2 linked regions of the Xenopus tropicalis genome follow. The protein of the gene in region 2 interacts with the protein of the main gene of each other region in a pairwise test. Links are inferred from orthologs where the notes say so. Each region holds a gene or a part of one and is shown on either strand. Other genes may lie near its edges. The genes, in order: ubr1 and dnajb11.

Region 1 (4,567 bases), on a different chromosome or scaffold from region 2:
TTGCAACTGAATTCACTGAGGATTCCATATTGTTACGCACAGTGCATTAGGCTTTCCTTGTCAACTATAGTAAACAAAAAAAAAATTACTGCTTTTTTTTTTTTAGTAAGAATTTTTTGGCAGTGACCTCTTTGCCTCTTGTATCGGTTATTGGTTGCTTTGTAGGTAATTCTGTATGTTCAATGCATAAACCCATTTACTGTAAAGCACTGCAGAATTTGTTGGTTAATAATAAAGATAAAATCTGCTACATATAACTGAAGAAGATAATTTCCAGAGTAAATGAGCCCTAGAGCTTCCTTGTTCCAGTGGCAGCTAATGTCTTATGCTAATGGAAAGGCAAACATAGCGTTAGTTACAATGGGAGTGCTGGGTTTTCTGCAGTGAAAGACCCAGGTCCTGAACATTCTATATAAGAGGTACCGTACACTGAAGCAACAAGTGGCATCCAAAGTAAAAATAGAATTACCAAACCCAAGCCAGAGTTTGTAAAGTGCTTTTTCTACAAAGCATACTGAGCTACTGTTTATTACTGCTTTCCTACCTACAGTATTTGTATGTGATATTTAAATGGTGTGCCCTAACAGTTATCACATAGTCATACCCACTGAGCATACACCATTGCCGTCACACAGTGTTCCTAAACTAAATGAACATACAGACTAATCCCAAAAAGGAATTTATATAAAAAAAAGTATACCAGTGCACTTAGGTTGATGGCACACGTGAAAAATCTCCTCTACCACAAACAACTAATATCCTGAAAATGTTTTCCCACGGGCAATAATGTAAATCACTGGTGAGAAAACATACACATCGCTTTGGCTTTGAGCAGCTAGTTGGAAGAAACTTGGTATTGGTAACTTTCTGGTCACTCATTTCAGGCCAGGCAGGATGAGCTCCTTAATGCATTGGCTCCCATGAATCAAATGTAATTGTAACAATGGCTTTGGCCCTTAAAGGAACAGTAACAGAAAAAAATGAAAGTGTATAAAACTAACTAAAATATAATGTGCTGCTGCCCTGCACTGGTAAAAGTTGTGTGTTTACTTCAGAAAGTCTACTATCATTTATATAAATAAGCCGCTATGTAGCCATGGGGGCAGCCATTCAAAGGAGAAAAGGCACAGGCACATAGCAGATAACAGATAAAACACTATTGTATTCTACAGAGCTTATCCGTTATCTGCTATGTAACCTGTGCCTTTTCTCCTTTTTTCCAGCTTGAATGGCTGCCCCCGTGGCTACACAACATCTTATTATATAAATTATAGTAGGGTTACTGTAGCAAACACACCAGTTTTACCAGTGCAGGGCAACAGTGCATTATATTTTTATTACTTAAAAGCTCTTTAATTTTTTCGTGTTACTGTTCCTTTAAGTAGCATGGCACTGCTGACCACCTGGATACCAAATGGTGCCCATCCTCCCTGCTTCCTTCCTGTTTGCCAATACCCATGGATTACCCTTCATTCCTCCTTTTGCTGTCTGTTACCAAGAACAAGAAAAATAATTTGCAAGGGCTTGCCCTGCTATTGCTTAATCCAAGTGCCAGCGCTCTTTTCTTGTTCTTAAGTTAATTGGGAGGGTGCTGATCCCTCCAGCACCGTGCACCGAGCTCTCTACTACTGGGTATTTTTCTCTTATGTTGTCAGTTACCAAACAATGCCTAGCATCTATTCTCTGCCCATTTCAGATAAAATGTGGGCTTATTCAGTAAGCTGATTTGCAGTTGGCCGGCTGAAAAGTTTTGACTGGTTGCCACAACTTACTCACCAGCTCCAAACTTCTAAGATTTAGGCAGATAAACCTAAACTAAGCCTTCTTTTACCCTATTATGCATTAAGTAGGTAGTGCCCTAGATGCCTGTTGTGCCAGTTTCAATGGCACCACTTTCTGCACTGACCTCTTACTGCCCCTGCTGTACCATACCCTCTGTATCCAACAACCTGTGTTGTTGAACTCCCAGTGTCACCAGTTAAAGAGGGAGCTGCTGTCCTACAGCTGTCATACAGGCCCATATTGCTTAAATTAACCAGCAGATGTATTCTCACCATGGCAAGCATTTCTCCATCCCCTGGCTCCCTGCTTTGCTCCAATCCTCCACCTCCAGACTCCATCTTCACAGTTCCTGACACAGCTGCCCTGTCACATCACCCAGACAGCACAACAGCACCTGGGAGCCCAGTAAAGGCCCAACTGGGTTTCACATCAAGTTGCACTTGCAGGGGTATGGTAGAGACAATGGTGGTATAATAGAACGTTAGTCAGTGAGTGCAAAGAGTCCAGGCAGGCAGTATGTGTCACTAATTATATCAGGACCTGTGCTCTTCAGAATACAACAACATAAATACACAAGTGCTTCAGCACTTTCAGCTTTGTAAATCCCAGTGCGTCCCCAGCAGGCATATCCGTGACAATTCAAGGCTGAATAATCTTCAAGTCAAGCTGAAAATGAACTGCACTTTTATATTTTTTTAGTGTGATGTTAACTGCCTGAAAATATAAATTCAAAAAAAGCACATAAATGTTGGATCTGTAGAAACTTAAAACAACATAAAGTTAAAAGAATTAGGAACATAGATTTTTCAAAACTTTATTCCTCTTCATACTAAATGGTAACATGAAAAGGTCACAAAAATGCACAGGAGTGATCATTATGACATGATTTTTGTTGGCATTCCTGCAAATATACAGCTCAGGCAAACAAGCCTTAATTACTGATCTCATCCTGCATTTCTACTAAAACTGGAACGGATGCAGAGAAGCAGCTATTAGGGAGGCTGAACGACATCCCTGCAAGTCGGTGTTACAAAGACAATTGAGTCATATTGAGTCATCCTCATTACATTATGTTATATGCCCCTTTCGTTTACATGTGTAGGGCTCTCAAAAAAATGTCTAAAATTGCATTTTACCTCTTAAAACCGTCAGTGTAGCAGAGCTACAGAAAGATCCACTCTGCTCAGTGCCAGGGCTGAAATGACTGCTGGGCGTATGCTTTCATTCTTCCACAGGAAGTGGTCATGTCAGTGAGTGACAAGCAACACTATTCAATGGAAGCACAAACCCCGCCCCCGTCTCTGCTCCCAAAGGGTTTTGCTGCTAATGGTGATTAGTGCAGCGCAGCTCTCTCCGAACAGTGATTTTCTGTTGTTCTTTTTATTATATTTTAACTCTCATTCACAACACTTGTATGTGCATAACAGCCTCCAAAAGCAGACCCTTTTATTTGTACGCTGCGGCCCTCCTGCTGTCACACAAGCACTGATTCCCTTTAACCTTAGGGCAGTGGTACTTGGGGCGTATTGTCTACCATGTAGCTGTCAGCATAGACTGAGCTATTACAATTATATGGTCAGCACTTGTGGCTCTTAATAAGGTCCCTTATGACAGAAACAGTATTGTTCATCTTATGGCAATGTATTTTTGGGAGGTAGTTTTGGGATTACTGGAGTATGACTGGGGGTATAAATGCACCAGGAGCTGCTCTCCATGTGGTATGCTGGCAGGACTCATAGGCAGGGTATTCTGACTTGAGACAAGGTGTGCTCCATGCCTCAGGGGGTAGTGCCCAAGTAGCCTAAATAGCTACCAGTTTTTTAGCTTTCCTTGTGCAGAGATCACAATTTCTCCTCACCTCTGTGAGTGCTTTTTAAAATGCATTAGTGTTAAAGGAGACATTGGATAAATGGGAAACCCCTAACCCTGTAGGTAATTATGAATAATATCCGGTGCTGGTTTCCCTTTGGGCTAAACACTAACCCTATCTGTAACAATGGCCCCTTTATTGGAGCTCCCTATAGATCCTCTCAGGTCCCTGTCTGGGTTTCAAATGAGGGGTGGGCGTGTCCTAACGGTCCCTGCCAGAAGCACAGTAGGAGGGGGAGAGCCAATCACAGCCCTGCACTCACACAAGCACAGACAGGCTTCAGTTCCCTATCCTATCCTACAGTGCAGGGTACGGAGGGCCGCTGGCTCCCCAGCTCATCCAGAGAATTCAGCTAGCAGGAAGTGGAACAGATGGGCGGGGCTAGTGGGGTTTGGGGGGAATTTCTCAATAAATCAGTCAGAAACACAACTTTTTAAGCACAATCCTTCTATATCTAGAGGAGTATAATTCCCTGGTACATTCATAATTTTTATAGGATATGTCTCCTTTAAGGAAGAGGGCAGGTGGTGGTAGGTGGTCCAGTCTAAAGGTCCCCATACACGTTAAGATTCGCTCGCTTGGCGAGATCGCCCAGCGAGTGGCTCTTCACCCGATATCCCCACCTATGGGTGGGCGATATCGGGGAGCGTGTAGGTAAAAAAAAAATTTTGATTGATTGGCGGCAATGGGGCAGTTGGTTTGGGGACCGCATCAATGAGCTGTCTATTCCTGTAGCCATGACAAGTAGCTGCTACTAGTAGCTCCATATGTCTTCACCCTAAGCTACAATACTGCTATCTTCATTGCATATTGTCCCACTAGACAACTCTTAAGTCTGTCAAGCCAGTGGAGCTCAACACAAAAAAGACCAGCCCAGGCCACCCCATGATCACAGGGTCTGCCTCTATAGTATTT
Region 2 (3,825 bases):
GTAATGCACAAAATGTGACAATAGAGTAAAAGCTAATTTGCTGTGGCATGTCATGAGGCTACACCCCTCAATAGCAAACATGTGCAGAGGGAAAGTAAAGGAATGTAGCCAGGCTGGGTGCTGATGAAGCTGCATTTATACATATAACAGTAAAGCAGCTTATTGTTTATATCCTATTCATTTATCAATAAACTGGCAGCAGCTTTAGATTCTTTAAATTTAAGTGGAAACTTTTGACTATATGAACCACAGGGGATCATCCCTAGGACAGTGCTTTTGTGTGCTGGTCCGGTTTGTGCATATATCAATATTATATCCAGAAAGGAGAATAGGATGTCATTTATTGCTTAGGACGGTGCTGTTCAACTGGCGGCCAGCGGGACACAAACGATTAAAGTCTTGTTGCTGTGACTGCTTACCTCTAAGATATTAGTATTGGCTCAGGTCCTGCATTATTTACACCTGTATGATTCTGAATTGTTCATACATATAAGACCCTGTATTGCTCATACCTATACAGCCCTGAATTGTTCACATCTGTAAGAAACAAACACTGGCACAACAAGGCATTTACAAATGACATAAACCCTGTATGTTTAATATATGCAAACCATGTAATGTTTTGGGGGAAGCCTATTCTTCAAACATGTGCCAGTGTTTGTGTTTGTTCCAGTACGGATTGGAGGGTGTCAATCCCCCAACAAATAAATCTTTGGAAGCCTAATTTAGCAAATCCTGTGAGTGCCATTCTTCTGCATTGTTTATAATATATATATATATAACAATTTTTAATGCATTTGACAGAATATTTTTGATATTTTCCCTGATATTAGTTTCAATCTGTCAATTCCCAGTCAGAATATCTTTATTTAGATCCAATGCTGATTTTTACTTACTGAGAAAATATATCACCATGGGAGCTTTGATGTCCATCTTTTAACCCCTCTTCGCCATATGTATCATATTGCTTTCTTTTTTCTTCATCTGAAAGCACCTATTTTAAAGTTACAAAATCATAAAATTAGAATATGTGAGTTTCATACCTGTCAATAGCATTATTAAAATACTATAACAAAACACAAAACAGTGATCTAAGGGGAGTTCAGATCTGCTACTTCATCTTCAGTTTTAAACATAGCGTTATTAACATATTCCACAGCTCTCTACAATAAAAGGATGCATACACTTTACAATTATTTTAATAATTTTAAAGAGGATCTAGTCAAAAAATAATGGAAATCTGTAAAATTATTAACATTGTTGAAAAAAAATAGCATGTTATTGATAAAGTTTTTGTATTTTCTTTTATGCCTAATGATCAACATTATTTTAACTTCCCTAGTCCATGGTCCTGGCCGAACCCAAAATTTTTTTCGTTGCACGGATGGTTCTTTTTAACATTTTAGTAGTTTTATTTGCATATGCAAATTAGGATTTGAATCGGTTCAAGGATTTCGGTTCTGCCGAATCCCGAAATAGTGGATTCGGTGCATCCCTATACAGTGCAAATTTTTAATATGCAGGATGCTTTACCCAGAAGGACATTATCCAATGAGCATTTAATTAAGGGAAGGACATATCCAATAAAGTCCATTTAAGCCAATAATTCTAATTTCCTTTTTCCTTGTAATAATAAAAAAACTCCTTGTACCTGAGGGTAACTAAGATGCACAAATCCACATTGGTTGCAAAACCATCCTACTGGGTATATTTATTGATTAAATGCTTTTTTTTTTTTTTGCCAGAATCAAAGGAATACGGTCGTGGGAAAACATGTTTTGTTTTTTTTAACCACATCAGCTAATAGTGCTTCTCCAGCAGAATCCTGCATTTAATTTTTTTTTTTTTTGTTTTTTTATCTAAATGTTTTGACTCTTGTAAAAGCATACAGAAAACTTATTAAGTCAATAAGCTATAAAGTATTTTTTTTTTTTTCAAACAAAACACAAGTTAACTTCACATAATAATAGTTAATAATAGTACCCTAGTGAGGTGACTGAAATCTGTTTTTTTAAAAGCACAAACTTTTTTTTTTTTTATAATTAATTCTGAAATTTTCACATGGGGATAGCTATGACTTTATTACCAAGGGTGCCACAGCCATATGATTTGTTCTCTGATAAACTTCAGTCACACTTTACTGCTGCGCTGCAAGTTGGAGTGAAAGCTACAGTTACCTTTGAATAGCACTTAATAGTAACTTGAGACTCCAGTTAGTGCTAGAAAGCAAAAATAATTTATTAGAATTATACATAAAATAATATACCCCGTTGTATATTATAGGTTAGAATGCACAAGAAGCATGAATATCACGTAAGGTACTTACATCAGGTGCTTAGTATAGTTATCTGTTATAATTAGTGCTTAATGATGTAATTTCTGCCACTGCTCAATAAAACTTGTGTTTCATAATAAACAATGTACCCTTGTAAAATATGCAGATAAAAAATGTCACCTCAGAGCTTAATTACTAATATAAAACACTTTTTATGATCATGGAACTCCTCAGTGACATTATGACATTCTTTTAATGTATTATATATTATAAATCACGGGAAAGTTCCATTACCATATAAAAGCAAAAGAGAGTGCAGGCAGTGTGCTTTGATACAGGTCATTAAAATCCTAAGTTACTTAAAACATCCCTATATTTTACAACAGGGGGTGCATTATTTTTATAATACACCAGTTTAAGTGAGTCATGGAATTCCTTGGTGAATTGTAATATCCTTAAATTTTACTGCAGGGGGTACATTATGCACTATATCTATTATGACTATAACCAACTTAATGAGAATAATGAAGGATAAGGAAATGTATCCTATTTAATGTATTTTCAGACTGACATACAGTGACAGTACTAAATGTATCTTTAGTGAATATAAGTATTGTTCTCTTTTCTTTCTATGAAACAGTAGTAATTTTGAGGGGGGGGGCGTCACTTTTTACAAACCTCATAGGCAGCCCCCAAGTCTTGAAATTTTTCTTGTGCATTAGGATCATCAGGGTTTCTGTCTGGATGAAGCTGCAAGGCAAGCTTTCGATAAGCCTTCTTTATCTCCTTTACAGTAGCTCCTTTTGACACACCCAAGATTTTATAAAAATCACGCCTAGAAGAACAGGAGTTAGCCAATTAAACAGGAGAAAACAAGGAAAAAGTAAAAAATATGACATTTGCACAAAAAAATGAAATTTAAAGAGTTTGTACAGTACAGGAATTCACTTTATACACAAGTATTTCACTTGTTTTGTGGCATGTTTTAGGTTAGTCTAAGACTAATCCCACACGAGGCGTAGGGCGGATATTTTCGGCAAGCTTAAAAGCGCTTGCTGCAAATTCCGCCCTACGCCTCCTACATGTCCCTGCACCTTATTTATATAAGTTATAGTACTGTTACTTTAGCAAATGCACAACTTTACCTCTGCAGGGTAACAGTACATTATAGTTTAAATTTTTTAATAAACTTTCATTTTTGGCGTTAATGTTCCTTTAATATACTAGAGATATAGTAATTGTTTTGGGGAACTAATATATTGGTATAGAATTGTAATAGCTTTCGGGGGAGTAGTTCCATCTATACACCATTTCTCAAAGTAAGTCTGATTTGTAGATTGGGGTATATATTGCTTCCAGCATTTTGCTACAAAGTGGAGTATTTGGGATGCACGGAAGTGTTCCAAGTCTGGAAGATTGTATCATTCTCACAGATAATCAAGGGTAAATGGACCTCTCACTGTAAGTTTTTAACTCTAACAAGGTTCTGATCTATCCGCCACTGAAGTAAGCAAGTTTGGTGTCCCGGGGTGAATTGGGGACTTTTAAAT

Evidence for each region.
Region 1: the proteins of dnajb11 (region 2) and ubr1 interact in a two-hybrid assay, tested with the Homo sapiens proteins (2 studies listed by BioGRID and IntAct). The link is inferred for Xenopus tropicalis from reciprocal best matches to the Homo sapiens genes DNAJB11 and UBR1.

What each region holds. Positions count from the first base shown.
Region 1 is NC_030684.2:105,745,403-105,749,969, reverse strand, and holds the start of ubr1 (E3 ubiquitin-protein ligase UBR1), read right to left. Parts: upstream 3,026-4,567; 5' UTR 2,919-3,025; intron 2,497-2,918; 5' UTR 2,121-2,496; coding exon 2,055-2,120; intron 1-2,054. UniProt on the Homo sapiens protein: E3 ubiquitin-protein ligase which is a component of the N-end rule pathway. Recognizes and binds proteins bearing specific N-terminal residues that are destabilizing according to the N-end rule, leading to their ubiquitination and subsequent degradation.
Region 2 is NC_030685.2:43,677,294-43,681,118, forward strand, and holds part of dnajb11 (dnaJ homolog subfamily B member 11), read right to left. Parts: intron 3,111-3,825; coding exon 2,954-3,110; intron 995-2,953; coding exon 897-994; intron 1-896. UniProt on the Homo sapiens protein: As a co-chaperone for HSPA5 it is required for proper folding, trafficking or degradation of proteins.